2 linked regions of the Canis lupus familiaris genome follow. The protein of the gene in region 1 interacts with the protein of each later gene in a pairwise test. Links are inferred from orthologs where the notes say so. Each region holds a gene or a part of one and is shown on either strand. Other genes may lie near its edges.

Region 1 (3,500 bases):
ATTTCATCAAGAATGAGCCATCTGTGCATTTCAATGCAAACAAAGATACCGTGGATGCAGGGCACATTTTTTTTTGAAAGAACCAAAGATGAATACAAGTGGCACTGCTGCCTTCCAAGGGCATGGCATGTAGTAGAATGAATGGTTCTCAACCAGAAATAATCACTCAAGGAGCTTTACATGGCCATGTAACATCCCCGACCCACTAAATCAGTTTCCACAAACTGGATCAGAGCATGTGTGTCTTCAAAAAGATCCATGAGTGATTTTGTTGAAGGATGAAATACATACATATAAGGATTATACTAAAAGTTCAAATAAACTCAGGATAGAAAGGAAGCAGACCAAAAGAGGAGACCTTAGGGTACCGTGACAGTCAAACCACTCAGACCTCAATTACTAGAGATCTTCCTAGGGCCGCTTTCACGGAAAAGACTTGTTTTTAACCTTTTGATTTTCAGACCCCTTTGTCCATCGGATGAAAAATACAGTTCTCTCCCTAAAAAATGCATAGGTACACTTACATACAAATTTTTATATACAATTTCAGGGAATCCATGGGCCTCCTAAAGTCTCTCTGGGCTTTCTCACAAAGAGGTACACAGGCAGGTTAAAAACCTGAGCCAGAGCATTATATCACCCCTACCACCACCCCTACCCCACCCCCCACCACCAAAGCTCCCTTGTATGTTTCTAAAAGCCTGGGAACCATATAACGCTATGGAAAGACAGCCAGCAGAACAGAAAAGGAAATCTACTCACCATACTAATGAAGGCTGGATTATTTATTAAACTAGCCATGTCAAAGCTCAATCCAGTTCCTGTCTGTAAAACAATGATATTTGAGAATTATTTTAACCACTGCAATTTGATTGTAATAAATTGTGAATGACAGAAAATATTGCCATCATCTGTCGTCAATAACTTACAGGACTGGATACCTCTCTTAACTTCTGTTCTGCTATTTTCAAATTTGACTTGTAAGAATCATTTTCAGGGTCAAGATCTAACGCCTTTTGATAACTTGTAACTGCTTCTTCGAATTTATTTATGGCAGTGAGGGCCAGTCTGAAAAGAATAAAATAGAAGAGTATAAGACACATGATTAAAGAACATCAGGACATCACCAACAGTCAAACATCTGCCTCGGTAATCAATCTGAATCCACACTACACTTACTTTATCCACCGTACTATGATTCACAGGGATATCACCAAAATTCCTTCTAATTTCAAGATTCTGTAAGTCTGGACTCTCTCCATTCTACTTGCTGACAAACTTGGCCATCCCGAAACGTTGTCCCGTGAGTCATGAATTTAATGCTTAGAAATGAACCTTACCTACCTTTCAAATTTTAAGGTTAATATGTTAAGTAATCTGCCTTAGTAATGGCAAAGCTCCACAATGATGTGAGCTAACAACCTGTGGCCATTATAGCTCCATGATGCTAAAATCATTTTAAGGACTCAACTAGATGTGTGCTTCCTAATGTCCCACTTTCTTCCTTCTTCCTAACAGATACACTGAGCCACAATAAATATCAATTCACCATTTAAAAAAATAAAAATGGGCTATGGGGTATCAGTGGACTACTCCTGAAGAAGTCGTATTAACTTAAGTAGATAAAATTAGGATCCTTTACCACTCAACACATTATTAACCCAGGCACAGATCAAAGACTTAGTTATTAAATTTTGTTATCCTCTATCTAGTTAGAATTTATCAGAAAATTACTTCCCAACTATACAGTAATAGTATATATGGACAGATAGTATTGAGGGTTTTTATTTGTTCTGTTTTTTTTTTTTTTTAATTTTTTTTATTTATTTATGATAGTCACACAGAGAGAGAGAGAGAGAGAGGCAGAGACACAGGCAGAGGGAGAAGCAGGCTCCATGCACCGGGAGCCCGACGTGGGATTCGATCTCGGGTCTCCAGGATCGCGCCCTGGGCCAAAGGCAGGCGCCAAACCGCTGCGCCACCCAGGGATCCCTGTTCTGTTTGTTTTTAACAAATTACTCTATTTCTTTCTTGGATGACTTACCTCCCAGACCTCTGATCAAAACAAAATTCAGTGTCTAAACACAGAAAAATTCTCAGAACCTAACTGATTTTCTTCCAGTCAACAATAAAGATATTACTTCAGAGTAATCAGTTAATCAAGATTCAATAAATATTTATTGAAACCCTACCTTGTGAAGGGGAGGTAGGAGGGGGGATGGGGTAATGGGGTGATGGGTACCAAGGAAGGCACATGATGAGATGACCACTAGGTATTATACTATATGTTGGTAAATTTGAATTTAAATAAAATATTTAAAAAAACATTTCTAAACCAAAAAACCAAAAAAAACCCTACTGCATACCAGATACTATTTTATAGTTCACAAAGAGAAAGATGAAGTCCTTGAGGTTAAGAAAACTTCATCCTACCTGGGAAGATAAGCAATACACACACAAATAAAATCATAGTATTAAAGGGGAGCTGCTCAAAGACAGCCACAGTGAAAAGACCTGAGTGATGAGAAGAAAGCAGTCACTTGTAAATCAAAGGAGCATTCGAAACAGAAGACACTGTAAACACAAAGTGCTGAGAACAATGCGTTTGGCATCCTTAAGGAACCGGACAAGAGCTGATGAGGAAGCACAGAAAAGAGTGTGGAAAGATGATGTCAGGGAATAAAATAATCAGGAGCCAGACCATGTAAGACCACAGTCTGGAGTCTGGATTTTATTCTGGTTGCAATGGAGTGACAGATCTGATTTGTGGTTTAAACATTCACTCTGGGGGCGCCTGGGTGGCTCAGTCCATTAAGCCTGTGACTCTTGATTTCGGCTCAGGTCATGATCTCAGGGTTGTGAGATTGATTGAGCCCTATGTGCTGCGCATCTATGGAACTTAAGATTCTCTCTTTCTCCCTCTGCCCTTTCCTCCTTCCTCCCTCCCTCCCTCTCCTTCGCCCCATTGCTCACAAAACAAACAAACAAATAAAAACATTCATTCTGGCTTTTCTGCAGATGATCAACATGGGTATGGGTAGAATGGTGGCAGGGGGACCAGTTACGAAGCTACCGCAGTAGCCTAAGTAAGAGATGGTGATTTGGACTAGGGTTAGAAGCAAGATAGCATTCAATGCTTGAATTCAAGATATAATTGAAATCAGAATGGACAGGACTTGCTGATAGATTAATCCTGTCAGGCATAATAATAATGAAGGATAACTACTAGGCTTTTGACTTTCTGGCACTAGTAGGTAAATGAGGTACCATTTATTGAGATGGAAAAGATTTAAGAAAGTAACAAAAAGTTTGTTGGGGAGGTGCCTGGGTGGCTCAGTTGGTTAAGCGTCTGCCTTTGGCTCAGGTCATGAGCCTGGGACCCTGGGATTGAGCCCATGTCAAGCTCCCCGCTCTGTGGGGAGTCTGCTTCTCTCTCTCTCTCCCTCTGCCTGCCACTCTCCCTGTTTATATGCCCCGCTCTGTCAAATAAATAAATAAAA
Region 2 (3,500 bases), on another chromosome or scaffold:
CTATTTCGGGGAATATTGAGCACTTAAATTCAGTGCTCCTCATGGCAAAGCAATACTGCCAATGTTCAGGCTTGCCTTTGTATCCATAAAGTGGAGCTATATTTTCAAATGCATTTTTCTTCTCATCAATAGCCTATTCAAATATTTGTTATCTTTCAGCCAGCTATTCAAATGCCTCCATGAGTGAAAACATAAGAACCAAATAATAAAATGACATTACCAACCTAGGGAGGCTTACTTCCACTTCCTCTTCTTGCATCTCAGAGAACCATTTTAGGATTTGATGAGCAGTGATTCGCTTTTCCATTTCTTCTATGTTCACGTCCTCTGCGGGAAGAATGATGATTAAACTAAACCCGTCACCTTTATAAGGCAATTCCAAAACCTGGTAGTTCATGGAGGGCTCAGAAAAATAACCTGGAACAGAGAAAGAAAATATTAAATAAATATTCTTGGCAATTCCCCAAATCATGCTTCGGAGAGTGATTTTTCATATTACCGTATTTTGTTCTCAGAAGAGCCTTCATCATTGGAATTTTGACTGCTGCACCATCTTTCTTAGTAAAATTCGTCAACTGTGTGTCCTCTTTTCTGAATTTCTGCTTCCAGTCGCCCTTGAAATAAATAGCATTCACCAGGACAAGTCGAGTCAGAGGGCCAAAGTCTTCCCCTGAAAACATGTCTTTAATTTTCCCTGTGACGGGGGTGGAGGACGAAACAGGGAAACATGTGCAAGAGTGGTTCAGTGGGGCTGCTTTAAATAGAATTAAAACAAAAATTTCTTTTGCAGATCAGTTATAAACAGGGTGCTTTTTTACCTAACCTTGGCAATTCTGACAGTAAAAAAGGGAGCACTCTCAAACATTTCACTTAGAAACAGGTACCAAGAGAATCTCACTAGGAAACAGGAGATACAAGATTGTCTTAGGCAAATCTGGACAGACCTACTAATAATGGACTCTCCAGCAAGAATATTTGTGTAAATCGTTTTTCAGTCAGAAAGAACAAGACCTGAATGTCTCTTCCTGCATATTTATTGATGTTTTTCAAACTTTGTCTCAAGTTTTTCCAGCAGGTCCATCAGAAGTAATAAGTTAATGGTACACCTTCTACTGGTGTAGTAATGGTAATGGTAAACCTCCTACTACTGTGGCTACCACCACTGCCCACTGGGAAAGGGACAAGAAAGGAGTTGCTAGCATGATTTTCTTCTTTTTAACAACCAGTCTGTTATTTCTATGTCCAATGGCTATTTCAGTTAAGAGATAAAAGCATGACCGAGCGCCATGGAACTGTCCAGGGATGTTCATTTTGAGTCCTGTTAATGATACTTACCTGCGAACGCCACTCAAACCATCCATCCCACATTTTCAACCATGCCCCCCTGTGTGAAACTTCCTATAAGGAATATGGTAGCACCTTATGCCATCATGATTTTTGTAGCAGAATAAATGAACAAGGAACCAAACTACTGTTAAGCTAGGATCTAATTTATGTTTGTTATTTCACAGACATTATTATCAAACCTTCAAATAACCTCTGAAACATTTTTAAAATATCCTCATTTTAGGTGAGGCATAGCTTAGAACTGGGTAGGATTTGAACTCTGATCTGAGTGACTTTAAGCCTGTGTTCTTTCTACGGTGTCTTTCCACAGTCACTGAAGAATTTTGGCTGGATTGTATTGCAATTAAAGTTGAAATTATCGTGTTTATGATAGGACTATCAACATTTATTATTAAACATTAACACATCCAACTAAGATGTGTTAATTATTTACAGTATATGTGGGAAAAAAGGCACTTGAAATTGACAGATCCAATTTTTACCTGGCCAAAGATATTATTTCTGCTGCCATAGGCTAAAAACCTATGCTTAAACAAAAATTATTATTAAAGGTTTTCCATTAAAAATTCTGTAAATGGGTGTCTCCCCCAAAAATTCTGTATGCTTTTCAAAGCAGCTTACAATTTCTCTCAGTTTTACAATTCAGAATTAATTTGAATAACAGGGCGGCAAAACAGGAGATCCCTCTGAGCCGTAGTTTAGTAGGAAAATATTCAACCATTCTTACTTAGGATATTAAAAACCGTGAATACAATGGCAAATAATGAGTGTATGAAAATGGGAAACTTTACCATCTGTTTTGCTTTCTACCCAGGTACTTATTGTCTCTGCAGAAGTCTTTGCATCCTGAAAATCCACCAGTTTTATGGCACTCTGAAAAAATTCCTTGTTGCTATGGAGATACTGTTCTTTCACAGTGAATCCTTCTTGAAGGTAGAGGGCATTGGCAAGATTAAATGTAAATTCTTGCTTTTTCTCTGAGATGGCAGAGAAAAATGACTTCAGCACAGAAAATTCTTCCCCTAAAAAATAATTATAATGTATACTGACATATTGAACAACATAAAAACAACAGCTTTTCAGCTTTGCTTCTAAGCGCTGATTCATATCACCATTTTTTGCACCCTTACGTATAACTAACGGTCCTTTCTGAGTTAGTATAAATATTTTAAGCATTTGTCTTCATAGAATATGCATTTTATAAAGAACTCAGTTTTTATATAGGAAGAAAGAATGTCCATGTAAATTTGAAATTTGTCAAAAACAAGAATGTGCATTTAAACAGGCTGAAGGAAATTCCCTTTTTATAGTCAAATTTAGCTCATTCTTACTTGTTGGAAATTTATCTTTAGAACCTCATTCTTTGCACAACATGTGATATTTATGGAAGGAGAATTCTAATGAATACTGATGGGGGTATGACAGTGATGAGCAATCCTTTTCAATATTGCTTTTATTCCAGCTTAAGAATTGCTCTCTTGTGAGCAATGGCACCTGTCCATGTTGTGAAATTTATGAGGCAACCCCTATAAGCAGCTCTAGAGATGTGCAAGAATCAGAATTGCCTATTTCTTCAGGTTCACGAATGTATATACTTTGGCTGTCTACATGAACAATAAAGATCTTTAAACATGCCAACTATTACCACTAGCCAAATGATGCCACCAGAGTCAGCTAAAAATCACCACTGTCCTATTATGTATTGCTGTCTCATTCTGACTGCACTGTTGTTGGGAAGGTGTATGTGCCTAGGAGACAATTCAGCTTTGATCTTTGTTCAGGGGCTATTCATGACCGAAGGTGTCGATGTTTTTCATCCCCTTCTGGCTTAATCCTGGGACTCAGTCATTTTAAGTCTAGGAACTATATTTCAAATCAAAGTTTCACTCGGGGCCTTTGTTACATTTTGAGCTGAATATAAAAATGCCACTTTCATAACTTGAAAGTTGAGTATGTGCAATTAATCTTTATTGAAGAAAACATAAATGGTTCTTCATTAGAAGATACCCACTGAATAAAGAGAGAAAAGTTTTAATGAGAACTTGCCTTGAGCTGTCCATTGGAAATACGGCATCTGTGTGTGTGTGTGTGTGTGTGCGTGTGTGTGTGTGTGTGCATTTTATTGGAGAGCTAGAGGCATAAGGCATCTTTGT

What was found.
Region 2: the proteins of SGTB (region 1) and SERPINI2 interact in binary tests that used the Homo sapiens proteins (3 or more experiments, as listed by UniProt). The two-hybrid records come from large-scale screens. The link is inferred for Canis lupus familiaris from reciprocal best matches to the Homo sapiens genes SGTB and SERPINI2.

What each region holds. Positions count from the first base shown.
Region 1 is NC_049223.1:50,639,680-50,643,179, forward strand, and holds part of SGTB (small glutamine-rich tetratricopeptide repeat-containing protein beta), read right to left. Parts: intron 1,069-3,500; coding exon 930-1,068; intron 826-929; coding exon 763-825; intron 1-762. UniProt on the Homo sapiens protein: Co-chaperone that binds directly to HSC70 and HSP70 and regulates their ATPase activity.
Region 2 is NC_049255.1:32,597,272-32,600,771, forward strand, and holds part of SERPINI2 (serpin I2), read right to left. Parts: intron 2,370-3,500; coding exon 2,139-2,369; intron 695-2,138; coding exon 500-694; intron 418-499; coding exon 225-417; intron 1-224.